Diceros bicornis minor: one gene and its partner. The protein of the gene in region 1 interacts with the protein of each later gene in a biochemical or structural test. Links are inferred from orthologs where the notes say so. Each region holds a gene or a part of one and is shown on either strand. Other genes may lie near its edges.

Region 1 (7,129 bases):
CAGCAGCCGGCACTAACCACTCCAGGGAATGTGCATCGGGAGAGCAGAAGCCACGGCCCCGAGCTGGCACCCAGGGGCTCTCATGTCCCCACAGAGCCCAGGCTGACCCAGGTGTCGCTGCCCTTTGAGCTGCCTTTGACTGTCAGGGCCCAGACTGCTGGGCTGTTGGGGGGCAGGGGCAGGTCCCCACGTCCAGCAGACTCTCTCAGTGTCTGTGGATTGACTGAACAATGCTACAAGACCAGTCCCCCGCCCCAACCTCTGCTGCCTAGGTTCTAAGGGCTGTGTGACCTCAGCCAGGAACTTTCCCTCTCTGAGTGTCAAGCTCTGTGATTGTAAAAGGGAGATGGGGAAAGGCTTAGGGGATGGAAAAGGTGGGACGAGTCGGGGGACGGCGCCTGATAGAGAGGTGGGGACAGCACGGCGCTGTCCTGTGCATTGTAGTTGTTCGCCGCATTGCTGGCCTCTATCTGCTAGATGCCGTAACACCCTGAGTCATGACCAAAATGTCCCCAGACGTTATGGAATGTCCCTGGGGGAGCAGGGGAGGGAGGGAAAATTGGCTCCAGTGAGAACCGCTGCCTCAACCCTACACTTCGGGGTGGGGCAGGAGGGCCAGCAGGGCCAGCAGGCTGCAGCCCCAGGAGAGTCTCCAGGAGCCATCAAGTCCAGAGCCCAAGACCGCCCGGAGCTGGTAATGATAATGAGGATTATAGCGAGATGTTTATATAGTGCCTACTATGCACCAGATGCTCTAGAGGTAGTCACTCGCCCAATCCTCGAGAGAACCCTGTGAGTGGAGGACGTGTGGATTCGGGACCTGAAGCACACAGAGGTGGAGTGACCTGCCCGAGGTCACACAGCACACACAGTAGGTGGCAGAGCCAGGACTCGAATCTGGGCTGCCTGGCTCCAGAGGGTACACGGAAACACCATCCAGGCTGCCTGCCCGCCCTGTGTTCCTGCCAGGGTGCGGGCGTGGGGCTGGGGACGGGCGACAGAAGGAAGAGAAGCTCTGCAGCGGCGAAGGAGAGGAGCCTTCACATGTGGCCCCTAGGACCGTCCATCCCAGGAGTCCCTGACCCTAATCTCTCAGCAAAGCTTTATTAAGCACCTACTGTGTGCACGCTGCCCCGGCTGAGATGAGAGTCATGATGACACTTATCTTGAGTTGTTCCCACATGACCCCTGTTCCTTCCTGCCAAGACTCTTTCCTGCCTGGGATGCCTTCCCCGACCACTGGCCCAACAGCCAGGAGCCAATATTTGCATCTGCATTTAACAGATGTGCAAACTGAGGCTCAGAGAGGCCAAGCAACTTGCCAAGGACACACAGCGGTTGAGCAGGATTCAAGCTGTTTGCTCCTTCACCTCTCCGGGCCCCCCTTTAACCTGAGCTCCCCTACAGGTGGCTCGAGCCTGCCCTGGGCCCCCTCACGGCAATCATCGGCGTTTTGTCGTTCCAGTTCACCGCCCTGCCAAGCCACCCTCATATTCACGGGGCCGGGGGGAGGGGGGGCGGTGGGTGGGTGACAGACCACACGTTTGTTTTCTCTGGAGGTTTCTCTGCTTCCTGGAGCCACAGATGCCACCCTGATGGGGCCCAAGGAGGCCAAGGGCTGAGCAGACACCTCTGTGTCCCCTGGACAACACCGCTCTGCTGACGGTCTGGAGGGGAGCTGCTTCCCTCAGGGTGGCACAAACCATGTCTGCTTCCTTCTCCAGCTGGACACCACCCATCCCAGTGCTACAGCCCTCCTGGTCCTCCCCAGTGGCCTCATGACTCTGTCCTCCTCCAACAGACCCAGGCCACCCCTGGAGAAGGCAGCCAGCGGCCGCTCTATCCAGGATGACTTACCTGGAGATGTGCAGACGGGCGTCGAGCCAAACAGGCCACCTGCAAGGTCTGTGGTCCCCAACGCCGACAGACAGCAGGTTCTAGGTGAAGAATTGGGACCCAGAAAACCAACTTGCATTTCTCTGCAGCCTGAGCCCCCAGCCTGAGGCCCCCCGGTTCACCCCCATTCACACACGCAGGCAAGGTATAAGGAGGTCACACCCCACGAGGGTTTCTCGCTCAGCGGGAATTTTATTCACCCTCTGCCACTGCCCCAGAGTCCCCTGTGGTGGCCGTGGCTGCAGGACAGAGGCAGAGGGCCGGAGGATGGCCACTCACCTGGACGCAGCGGCAGAGCGCGGAGGCCCAGGCTGGGCAGGGAGCCGGGCCGGAAGGCCTGCTGTGCTCCTGGCGGCGGGTTTCTCTGAAACTCAACCTATTTCCGCGATGCGAAGACAGGAAAGGGGGCTGCGTTTGAAGTTTGCGTCAAAGTTACAAAGTGCTGCGTTCAAGGAAAATCGGGGCCACGTGCTCGGGGAGGGCAGAGGGCATTTCCGGGGCCAAGCAGGGCGAGCCCACGCTGGGGACCCGAGGCTGGCTGCAGGCAGGGACGATGCAGAAACGATTCCAACAGCATCCCCAGACCTGGGGAGGGGGAGGAGGGGAGCTGTGTGTGCTGGATTTGGGGGGGCACTGGAGGTGGGAGGAGGATCCCCAGGCCTCATTGGAAACTGGAATGCCCCCACTTTCCCCGCCCAAGGGGGCGTCGATCCGGGGCCTGCCCCTGGCTGAACTGCTCATAAGGGTGATTTATTTATTCCACAAACAGGTTAAAGCTGGAGAGAGGAGAAACCTACTAAATAATTCCATACCTCAAAGGTTCTGAGGACCTACCATGTGCCAGGCATCGGGACAGCAATGACAGCCCTGTCTCTGCCCTCAAAGTGCTCACAGGCTAGAGGAGGAGGCGGCTGAGGCAACAGGGAGACCAGGGCTGGGACGGCGGAAGCCTGGCCTCTGTGTGTACCCAGAGGAGCCCAGTGCAGCCTGGGGGTGCCAGGGAAGGATTCTGAGAGGAATCGGTCGTATTGTCAAGATCAGTGCCCATCCAATCCCAGCTCGGCCCTCTCGGACCTTCCCCACACGCTGGCCCTGGCTAAGCACCACCTTCTGCTCTGGCCACAGCCCCTTCCTCACGCTCCTTTCCTCCCTTCCCTCACACCCGCCCACCCCCGTGATGGCCCCCACGCCCCTCTGACCAGGTGGCCACGCCTCACACTTGTCCCTCAGTGGCCTACAGAGCGGCTCTGCTGCACAGCCAGTGCCCGTCTCCGACGTCCACTTCACCCCATCTCTTCCTCCCTCGCCCCAAGGCCTCTGGGCCTCTCTCACCCCCTCTTCCTTGCCCTCTGGGGCCTGGGGGGTTTTTTCAGCAGCTGGCCCCCCAGTGGAGCCCCAGGGACCTGTGTGGGGCTGTCCCAAGCCCACTGCTGAGACCCTAAGAACCTTTCCTCTCTGGTTCTGCCACCCCGGGGGACGTGGGCTCGGCTCCCCAGCCTGCCTGATGTCTTCTCTACGCTGCAGCCCAGGTCTCCTCTCCTGGGGACCCCCTCCGCAGTCTCTACTATCCCCCAGTTCCCTAACCCCCCTCTCCCCACTCAGGAAATCTTTTTTCTAAGCTCCAGGCTGGGGAACTTTTCTCCTACCTAGATTTCCTCCCAAACTGTTTTTGTTAAAAGGCTTCCCTTTCCCCACAGGCATCATGAAACTCAAGATGCAGAAAAAAAAACAGTCACTTTCCATACTGGAAACTCCTTTCTTGGGGTAATGAGAGAAGAATGATGCGGCAGAGTGAAGGGAGGAGAAACCAGAACACCAGAGCCACATAATCTACAACATAGTAGCACTACTGTGTGCCAGACAACAGCTGTAAACAGTTTACAATTGAATCCATGGAACCCACTTAACCCATTTTCCAGATTAGGTAAGTGAAGCCCGGAGAGGTTAAATAACAGATCCAAGGGGCCAGGCGGGACTGGAGCGAGCAGCCCTCAGCCCAGGCGCCGGTGGGCAGTGGAGGAAGGAACCTCGACTGCACAGCAGCTCCCGCGGCGCCTCCAGAGGGCCGGGAGGTGAGCGGGCTGCGTGTGGGGCTTCCAGTCTCCGGGGTCTTCAGGCCTGAGAAGACGACTCTCAGCCTCTGCGAGGCCCCGAACCCCCTTCCGGTCCCGGAGGCCGCGTCCTGAGACGCAGGCCCGGTGTGAGATCGGCCTGCGGATAAGACCGAGGCGCAGCCCAAGTGCAGGGAGGTGGACGGTCCTTGGATCGTGCGGAGGAAAGAGCGCGAGGACGAAACCGTGGGCCGGGGAAGTTGCGGCGCGCCTGCCCGGGGGTGGGCTTGGGTGAATGCTCCCTCAGAGCACGCAGGGCCTTGGAAGAAATTGATTGCTCACTCCCACGCCTCCGGGGCTTTGCCCACGCCGTGTCCCAGCCTGAACTCGCTGCCCCCACCTCAGCTGCCTGACTCCTCCTCCTCCTCCAGGGCAGTGAGCAAACGCGGCTTCCTCCAGGCAGCCTTCCCTCCCCAAACTGGGCGGGGTGGGGCTTTGAGTCCGTTTCACCTGACTTGTGAGCGGGCCAGATTTGGCCCCAGAGGCCCCAGACCTCTGGCAGGTGGGCTGGGGAGTGGAGAGCGCAATGAGCCCCAAAGCGGGGACAGCCGCTTCCCCGCAGGGCCCCTCCTGAGTTCCTTCCCACCTGGGCGTCCTAGCCATGCAGCTCACCTGCCTTTCCGTGGGGGGCGGGGGGCGCGGGGGGCGTGGTCAGGCAATGGTGACTTTTATCTCCTTATTATTCTTTTCTGGTTCTGCCACTTATAGCTGAAGGACCTTGAGCAAGTTACTTGATCTCTCTGTGCATTACTTTCCTCATTTAGGAAATAGGGATGAGAACGGTGCCTACCTCCTAGGGCTCTTGTGGAAACTAAAACAGACTTCAAAGCAAATGCTCCATTATTGCCATCATCATCATCATCATCACCACCACCACCATCTCTCTGGATTCTCCCACTTTTTATAATGTGCTGGTGACTGAATGTCCAGGGGCAGCAACGGGGTTGCCTTGCACCCTCCAGAGGCAGCTCTCCAATACTGCATCCTTCCCAGCGCAACTCAGGATCCCTAAGGTTGAAAGTGACACCACCCCTCTCAAAAAATAAATTTAATCCAACCTGGTTGAAATCAGAAGAGAATCGACTGGCTACAGCAGCCACATGCTGTGCCCTCCCCTGGGGGTCATCGAATGGCTGGCTCCTTAAACCTTCAAACCGCAAGGACAGTGTCACCTCTTCACATAGTCTGTTGGGAGCTCCCTATTTATTCAACACTGAGTACCTACCCTAGGCCAGATTCTGTTCTAGGCACTATGGATCTGTTGTGAACAATGCAGACAAAAATCTCTTCCCTCATGGAGCTGATATTTTAGTGGGGGAGATAGAGAAGTAACGTATAAGTATAGAGTGTATTAGGTGGTTTCAAGTGCGAGGAGTAAAATAAATCAGGAAAGGGTAGAAGAGGTGTGTGGGTGTGTGACTTCCAACAGAGGGGTCAGGGCCAGCCTCACTGAGGGGATAGTCTGTGAGGCAAGACTTGAAGGAAGTGCAGGAGGGAGCCATAGAGATGTCGGGGGAAGAGCATTCTAGGTAACAGGAACAGCAAGTGCAAAGGCCCTGGGGCAGGTCTGTGACCTCTGTGAGGTGGGAACTGCCTTGTTCCTGGCTGCATCCCCAGCGACAGGAGTGGCACTTGGCACATAATAGTGTTCAATAAATATGGCATGAAAAGCCCAGGTACGGGCTTTAGGAAAAGCTTGCTCAGGGCTCAAATGATGGCCCCAGAATTGTTACCTCCTCCACCTGTTGTCTTCATTCTCAGACAAGTTTCTCCTACGGTCCAAGACAGTTTCAAATCCCACTCAGGGAGCAAGAATCTATCTCTCAGCATTTCCAGCTAAAGTCCCAACACAGCTCACTGGCTGAGTGCATCACATGTCCGTCCCCCAACCAGTCGCTCAGGCCTGTGGAGGAGATGGGAGAACGGCTGAGGACCAGGTCACATGCCCTGCCCCACCACAGTGAGACGGAGGAGAAGAACCCCAAGAGAAGTCAGAGGCTATGGCTGGAAGGAGGGGAAAAGGATGCTGGGTAGGCAAAGGGCCAAAGTTTTGCAGAATAATCATAACAGCTGAGATTGGTTTATTCATTTATATTGACTACTGTGTGGTGGCGCCAGCTAAGGTGCGTCTAATGCTCACAACAGCCACATGAATAGGTTATAAAATAGGTTAGCCCTATTTTACAGTTACAGAAACTGAGGCCAAGAGGAAACTGAGGCTTGAGATTGCACAGCTAGTAAGTGGCAGAGCCTGGGATCGCCTGGCTCAAAGGGAGCCCAGAACTCCATTGGGCTCGACCCTGAAAACCCCCCCGTGCCGTCTGGCACCGCCTCTCACCAAGCCAGGGACAGGCTGGCTGGACCACCCGCTGAGCTGAAGGTGAAAGCCCTTAGCCTGAGAATGCAAAGGGGGCCACCTCTTTGATAGGGAAAGAGGGAAATGAAAGACAGTTCAGGGCAGGCTAGGTGGGCCGCAGGCAGTGGGGAGACTGCTGGCGGAGGCTGGAGGTGGCTGACCCTGATTTGTTCCTCAAATGGAAGCCTGAGGTAGGGGTGGGAGGCCAACAGGAGCGTGGGCTGCCTCTCAGGTCTGGGGTCGGTCCCGAGAGGTCAGGATGAGGGTGGGGATGCAACCTATCGGGAGCTCAAGGAAGAATCCAGTGTTCATGGTGCGCCTGCTGTATACCCAAGCCCTGGCAGCCACACCTCCTCCAAGCCCAGGAGGACGCCAGCAACCTGCTGTCAGGAAGGCTCCCCACGGTGACCCAGCGGCCAGCTCCGCACGGTGCCTGGCACACAGGAGGTGCTCGACAAATGTTGGCCGCTGAATGAGCCACCCAACGGCCCTGTAAAGGGGGTAAATTCCTGCTCCCATTGCCAAGATGAGGAAACTGAGGCTCAAAGAAGGTCAAGGCAAGAGCATTGGAGTCCAGGGGTCAGCCCAGTGGCGTTGTGGTTAAGTTCGCGGGCTCCGTTTCTGCAGCCCAGGGTTCACAGGTTTGGATCCCAGGCGTGGACCTGCTCACCGCTCATCAAGCCATGCTGTGGTGGCGTCCCACATATAAAAAATAGAGGAAGATGGGCATGGATGTTAGCGCAGGGCTAATCTTCCTCACCAAAAA
Region 2 (7,376 bases), on another chromosome or scaffold:
TAAAATAGGGCAAGTAACAGCACCCACCTCGTGGGGTGTTTTGAGGATTATGGCAGTGAATGCTAAAACGGGGCCTGTCATACAGTAAGCGCTGCCATTGTACAGACGTGACAAGGGAGGCCAGGAGGGGAAGGGGCAGGCACAGCAGCACCTGGGCATTGTGAGGTTTAATAAGTCAACACATGGAAAACTCTTAGTAGGGCATGTGGTAGGCCCTCAACAAACATCAGCTCTTTTATCATGACTCTACCTCACGAGCTGTTGTATCAGAGGCACACAGTGAATACGATGAATGAATGAGTGAGTGAACGAATGAATGAATGAATGAAAAGAAGCACTTGGACAAGTGATCTGGAGCTCAGGAGAGAGGCACTGGGAATCTGTATGGCAAATGAAGCCAGGATGTAGAAGGGGTGGCCCAGAGTGAGTACAGAGAGAGAGGAGAGTAACAGAACCCTGAAGACCACCAGACATTGAGGAAAGCCTCTCACAGGCAGGATGAGACCAAAGTGAAGGGGGAACAGCAGCTCCAAGGAAACCAAAGCAATGCAGGAAGCAGAAGAACACTTCCAAAACAACTGCCCCCGGCAAAATGTATAATCAATACCCTTAGAAATGTACAAAATGATATTGCCTCCATGAAACAAGAACAGGAGGCTATGAAAAAGGAACAGTCAGAGATCAACAAAGAACTTTCAGATAGAAGAGAGAACATAAAAGAGCAGAATCAAGGAACGGAGTCAAAAGAAGAAGAAAGTCAAGGAAATCTCGCCAACAATAAAAGGAAAAGATAAAAAGATAGGAAAGAGAAGAGAAAAAGTAAGAAAATGAGATCGGAGCAGGAAGTCCACTCTCTGAAGAACAGGAGTTCTAGAAAGAGAGAGGAGAGAAAATGGAGGGTAGCAAGCATCAAAGAAATAACAGGAGAAGGAGAAGGGGAGGGGCCCCAGCACGGAGGGGCCAGGGAGGGGTCAGAAATGGCCGACTCACTGGAGAAGGCGCTGTCTCGGAGGCCGGGGTTTTTGGACGCAGGAGGTGGCGGGACGGCGGTGCCGGTGGCTGGGACAGTGTCAGGAAGCACCACTCTGTAAGGAAGTCAAGGGGTGTGTGAGCACGGACTCCCGGCCGCAGCCCCCACCTCCCGCCGGGCAACTCACAAGTAGCCCTCGTTGTGATAGTCTTCCTCATCCTCATCTTCATCCGCGTCCTCACAGGCTGGCTCTGGGGTAACGACACGGGGGTCGGCAAAGCCTGGGGCAGGCCTTAGCCTTCCCCTAGCCACGGCACCTGGGGTTCCAGAAGCACCCTCGTTCTCATAGCTCGCCACACTGTTGGCTGCAGAGAGAGAGTGAGGGAGACTGAGTCAGCTCAGGCGGGGCCTAGCCTATGTACAGCCCCAGCCCCCCAGGCCGCTCCACGCTTACCACCATCTGAGCCTTGCCGGGAAGATGGCATGCGGTGGGAGCCCCCGGGGGGCTGTGGGGATCTCCTGGGAGTCAAAGGTCAGAGGTTATGCTGGAGTGGGGCTCTGGGACAAGAGGGGTAACAACAGGGAAAGAGGCCCCAATCCAAGGAGGTGAGGGGTAAAGAGGAGACTCTGGAGAGGAACGGGCTACTTACGGGATGGGGAGCAGGTCTGGCTGGCTCAGGGGTGGGAAGGAGGTAACAGGCGGGTAGGAAGCGGCCGGTGGCCATGGGGCGAGCGTGGCTGAGGACACAGGACCAAGCTGAAGGAATGACTCCAACCTCATGCCCCTACCATCCTCGAGGCCTCAAAGGGCAGGCTAACCCCTGACACCCCTGGACAGGCCTGAGGCCACCCATCTCCCTCCCCATCCCCAGCTCAGGTCAAGGCCATGTGGACGCCACAGTGGGGGGTAACCTGAACAAAGGCACACGCTCTCTCACACCCCCGGGGACCCTCTCCCCTACTCGAGGGAGGAGACACCCCGTGTACTCACGAGGCCGTTTGATCACGATGCTGCTCGGGGTCAAGCTGGCAGGAAACACACAGCTAGGGGAAGGGCCGGGAGAGGCCCAGCCAGCCCCCCAGCCCAGCCCCGCATGAGTATTGAGGGAGACAGACACACGGTCGGGGGGCGACTCACCTATCAGAGGCAGCACTGTCATATGAGCCTGGAAAAGAGAGACAGGAAAAGGGGGTGACAAGGGGAAACGGTGATGGAGGCCGGGGCTCTCCGTATCTCCGTGTGCAGGACAGAGTTAGGGACAGTTAAAGACGGAGCAAGGGGTTGGGGGCAGGGTGAGGAGCCCTGTCAGTGTGTCCGAGCACCTGGCCACCTCGCCACCTCGCGCTCACCTGGCAGCTCTCGGCAGCGCACACACAGTGCCATCAGCAACACGGCCAAGAGAGGCAGCAGCAGGGGTCCCAGCACGGAGGGGATCAGGATGGCCGCCTCCATCTGCAGAAGAGAGCCTGGACCAGGCCTGGCTGTTCGCCGCACGCCCCTCAGGGGCAGAGCTGCAGCAGGGCGAGGACTGGGCCAGCAAGGTGCCGGGACCAGTGGGCACCAGGCAGGAGCCAGGTGGGGACAGCTGTGCCCTCCTTGGGGGCCCTGGATCCCCTCCTCTCACTGGACTGAGTGGGGGTCAGCGCTGGCTCTGGAAGACCCTTGATCCCCAGGCGGTCAGGCCAGGGCCTTGACTGGAGTCTGAGGCACCAGCCACCCTGCGCAGACCCTGCACCCCAGTCCTACCTGCCCCTCAGCTTGGCGCCCGCCTCTCCTCCTCGCCCGCCCGCCTGCGGCAGGAAGCTGTGGTGAGCGCCGGGTGAGGGCAGGAAATCATCGGGCTCCTCAGCCGGCTGCACCCGCCCCCTTCCCACCCCCACCCAGACAGTGGGGAGGGGGAGGAGGCCCGATGAGCCACCCCAGGCCCTCAAGAAGGCTCTGCCGGCCTCCAGGACAAGAGGCAACTATACCAGTGGCAGGAGGGAAGCCTGGCAGGCCAGCAGCCGCAGCCTTCAGCCGCGGCTCGAGGAGGCAGCAGGGAGGGAGGTTCTGACACCAGGAATCCCCGAGGGGCACAGGGCAGTGCCCACACCCCCTCCCCCTGGCCAGCCTGCCAAGAGGGGCGGGCTCTGGGGGAAACGTGGGCGTGACTCACCATCACACTGAGCCAGCTCACTCCACCCTCTCATTCACCCAGCCCCAAAGGGCAGGGATTTGCCCAAGGCCCCACAGGAGTGACCCAACAGCCCCCAGGGGGTCCTGGGGCTGCAGACATGGCATCCCCTGCAGTCCAGAGGTCAGAGATCGCTAGCACCGAGAGAGACTCAGCAGGCATTTGGGGTCTGGCTATAAATTTTATTTAGGTACAAATAGCACCGAGCCCCTCGGGCGGCTCCAGTGGAGGGGGACCCCATTCCCGGACCCCCCTGCCCCCTGCTTGGCTGCCTGTGTAGTGTCTAGGAGCTGGAACATGGCCCAAGGTCCCTCCCAGAAGCTGGGCCAGGCTGTGGGTTTGGGCCCGGGCACCTCCTGGGGTAGGTGTGCAGGTGGGCGAGCAACAACCCCTCAGATGAGCACACTGGACACGGGGACCCGGGTGGGGCGGCCTCGCTGGGGCACCACGATACGGTCATCTGCGGGCCCTGTCTCATGCAGCAGACCTGCCGGGAAGGGGTCAGAGCCAGGGCTGGAGGCAAAGATAGACACAAAGCCAGGGAGGGGACCGACAGGCAGCGGGCAATGGACTGGGCAGCAGAGCCACCAGGGCTGTGGACACAGGGGCATCAGCTTGTTGGACAGGCAGAGCTGAAGCCACATGAGGGGAGGGCTGTGGACTGAGGGATGACAGACACACAGGACCGAGCACACGGACGGATGGACAAGCAGGGCAAGGAGCTGTGGATGGACAGAGGGAAGGCGCAACTGACCCTGCACGTGCAGGTGGGCTCGCTGGCGGTCGCCCTCAATGAAGAGAGCGGTGCCCAGGAAGGCCGCACCCCCCAGCGCCCCAACGAAGGCGCAGAGCATGAGTGAGAACTGCAAGGCCCGGAACTCAGACAAGAAGGAGGGGGGCCAGCGCCGGCGGAGGCGGTCGGAGATCTGCCGGAGACAGGAGAGGAAGGCCAGGGGACGGGGTCAGGGAGAGAGAGCCCCCGAACTCCAGAGAACAAAGCCTGGAGCCAGGAAGGGCAGGAGGGCTGGTCCGCCAGGCGAGCTCCACGGCCTCACTGTGGGCATCTGCCAGGACAAAACCCTTCCTGACTAGTTGAGGACCCAAGGTGAGGGGGCCTGGCACAGAGGGCACAGACCCTAACTGGGACCTTCCAATGTGGCCCAGGCTCAGGCCAGTGACCACCAGCCGGTGCTAGGAATGCAGGGGCCCCCAACTCCCACCCCAGGCCCGGCCAAGGGGCAGTGCTCACCACGCCAATGAGGTAGGGGCTCCCAGCGTCACCCAACAGGTGGGACAGCACAATCTGGAAGGCCTCGGCGGTGGAGCGTCGTGTGGGGATCACCACGTACTGGGGGGAGGAGGGGCAGGAGGCAGAGGCTGAGGACAAGGCCAAGGCTCAGCCTAGGCTGAGGTCAGAGGTGAACCCTGGCTCAGAGGTGTGACTGGGGGGAAGGCTACAGACCCGTCTGGGGCTGGACTCTGAAGTCAGTCTGGGGCTGGTTTTGAAGATGAGGTCAAGGCCACAATTCAAGGAAAGTGAGGCCTGCTGCCCCCACTCCCTGCTCTCATTAGCCTCTGGGCTAACCCTGGAGCGGCCCGGCTACTCACCAGCAGAATGTCAGCCACAATGGCCCAGTTCATGGATAGCAGTGTCTCTCCGATAAAGATGAAAATCTGGGGGGTGGGGGGGGGTCCTCATCACAAGAAGAGCAAATACATGGAGGGTTTACCAGGTACCAGGCCCATCTGTTAACACATTTAATCCTCACAACAGGTGCTACTATCACTCCCATTTTACAGGTGATGAAACCCAGCACAGAGGTTAAGTACTTGCCCAATGTCACACAGCTGGGAAAGGCTGGAGCTGAGATGCAAAGCTGGGTATTCCTGCTCCAGAGTCGGCTCTGAACTGGCTGGCTGACCCCAGTCCTGCCCCAGTACCCCGTTCCTCCACCCTGTACCCGGAACACCCCCCTTGATACCTCTGGGCTACTCACATAGGTGGCCACGATGCTACCACGGGCACAGGCGAGGGACAGGAAGAGGAAGGGTGCGGAGCCCAGGAGGCCAGCAGCACAGACAAGCGGGTCAGCCCGGGGGTTGGAGCGGCGGAGGCGGCGGCTGACCTCCACGCCCAGGCCCACACCCAGGACGCCAGTCACGCAGGTGATGAGCCCGAAGATGAGGCTGGGGGGAGTGGAGGGGGTGCGGGCTAGACCCTCTGGCTGCAAAGCCCCCTAGCCTCACCCCCACGGCCTGGAGAGGAAGATGGTCCATCCCAGCCACCCTCACAGCCCAGGTCTATCCAGGCACAGCACCCCACAGTTCACTAAGCTCAAAGAGGAAGGCGTCACCCCATCCCTGTTTCCCAGACCAGGACACTGAGACTCGGGGAGAGGAAGTAGCTTTGGGGTTGGGGCTCAAACTCTCCTTGCCTGAGTCTGAATCGCAGACTCTCTCCACTCCATCCCCTGCCGCTTGCAGGCCACCCAGCACAGCCCCAATCTGGGTACCTGTCAGAGGAAGAGCAGGAGTCTCCAGGAAGGCAGGGTGGGGTCTCCCCCAAGACCACACGGGAACGCAGCAAGAAGGCAGGAGCCCAAAGAGCCAGGGAGCCCGTGACGAAGGCCACAGCAGTGAAGCCAAGGGAAGACAGGATGAAACTGGGACTGCAGACAGTTGGGAGGAGAAGTCAGACTCCACTGAGGTGTTGGGGTAGGGGACCTCTGTTCTCCCTTCCTGACTTATTTTAATAAGGTCTGGGCCCCGGGTGAAGGCTGTCCTGGTGCCCAGGATCTGGGCCTGTAATTCAAGCTGCTGCCACAAGGAGGCAGTGGTGACTGAATTCCAGGCCCTGAGGTAGAGCCAGCTGGCATAAGAGAAAACAAAGACCACGCCCACTAAATCTCAAACTAGATGTCAGGCCTCCCTGGGGGGCCTCAGATGTTGGGTGAGAATGGAACTAAACTCACTTTCTTGCCAGAGCCCTCAGATCTGCCCACCATGAGGTGGGGCTCAGGGGCGGTGAGTCTGAGTGGCGCTCCACAGCTCCCCTCGGCGGCTCCCGTACTACTAGGAACAACAGCAGAACAGCCAGCACTCCTAGACCTGGTGTCACCTGGGGGAAGAGTGGGCTTCAGGACAGGCACAGGGAGGGACACACTCAACCTGGGGCTGGGAGAAAGTGAGGGGGTATTAAGGCAACTCAGGCCTCAAGACCTCAAACAGCCAGGTGAGTGCCTGTTCAGGGAAGCTAAACTTACAACTGGGGGGAGGGGCAAATGCCACTAGGGGCCCCGTGTCTGCAAGCCTAGCTGCTCCCTCTTTGGTAACAGTACTCTAATTTTCTTCTAGGAAACCACTCTGCCTTCTCTCAATCCATGTAGTTCAAACAGGGCGGGGCTTGTAATCCAGACTTGGCCAACAAGAGTAGTGTTACCCTCCCCAGCCTCAGTGACTGATTCAGTGGCAGGCATGTGACCCATGTTCATTTAATCAGACACCATGTAGGACTACTGCCCAAGGATCCAGGGTGCTGATGCTTCTAAATAGGAATACAAACATGTGGAGCTTTCCCTTGCTTGAGAATGAAGTTAACACAGAGGAAAGCAGAGCTGAGAAAAGGATGATCAAATTCCTGTGACAGTGGGTGAGTCCTGGATCCAGCTTTACCTGAAGCTCACCCTGGGACTTTCCATTATGAGAGCCAAGAAAGTCCCATTTTGGGGCTTACAGTTTTTCAATGGGCTTCTGTCACCTGCAACCAAGAGTTCTAGCACATGGCTTCATGGTGAGGGCAGCCAGGCTTCCTGAAGGCTTGCAAGAGTGAGACTGCCTCAAAAGAGGGGGTGTCTGAAGGTAGGAAACGGGGATCAGTGAGAATGTTCCTGACCTTCGGCAGGCCGTGACCAGACTCACCCTCAGAGCCCAGTGCCAGTCCCCGGCCACATCCTTCACTTTGGAGCCTGCAATGTAACCCAGACCACTGGGGGAAGGGAGTGGGAGAGGAGAGGAGACAGCTGGTCAGTCGCGTCCCCCACGCCAGGCCCTTCTGCCTCCCCATCAGGCCCAAGGCCCACTCACCTGCCCACTGGGATGGCAAAGTAGAAGACGCTGAGCATCCGACTCCGCTGGTCTGCCACGAAGAGGTCAGCGATGAGAGTGGGCGCGATGGTGGAGTAACTGGCCTCCCCGACCCCCACCAGGCCCCGGGTCAGGAGGAGCAGCCAGAA

What was found. The genes of interacting proteins can lie anywhere in the genome.
Region 2: of the proteins of tyrosine-protein kinase ZAP-70 (region 1) and LAT, one has a biochemical effect on the other in vitro, tested with the Homo sapiens proteins (2 studies listed by BioGRID). The link is inferred for Diceros bicornis minor from reciprocal best matches to the Homo sapiens genes ZAP70 and LAT.

What each region holds. Positions count from the first base shown.
Region 1 is NC_080779.1:15,567,048-15,574,176, forward strand, and holds the start of tyrosine-protein kinase ZAP-70, read right to left. Parts: upstream 3,001-7,129; 5' UTR 2,745-3,000; coding exon 2,731-2,744; intron 2,273-2,730; coding exon 2,176-2,272; intron 1,938-2,175; coding exon 1,858-1,937; intron 1-1,857. UniProt on the Homo sapiens protein: Tyrosine kinase that plays an essential role in regulation of the adaptive immune response. Regulates motility, adhesion and cytokine expression of mature T-cells, as well as thymocyte development.
Region 2 is NC_080765.1:22,226,400-22,233,775, reverse strand, and holds the start of LAT (linker for activation of T-cells family member 1), read right to left. Parts: upstream 3,014-7,376; 5' UTR 2,718-3,013; exon of another isoform or gene 2,424-2,717; coding exon 2,321-2,423; intron 2,137-2,320; coding exon 2,109-2,136; intron 1,997-2,108; coding exon 1,962-1,996; intron 1,709-1,961; coding exon 1,621-1,708; intron 1,490-1,620; coding exon 1,425-1,489; intron 1,336-1,424; coding exon 1,158-1,335; intron 1,086-1,157; coding exon 991-1,085; intron 1-990. Other genes in the region: SPNS1 (protein spinster homolog 1), read right to left, coding at 3,537-3,631, 3,899-4,070, 4,394-4,492, 4,753-4,818, 5,142-5,331, 5,658-5,813, 6,117-6,262, 7,063-7,129 and 1 more. UniProt on the Homo sapiens protein: Required for TCR (T-cell antigen receptor)- and pre-TCR-mediated signaling, both in mature T-cells and during their development.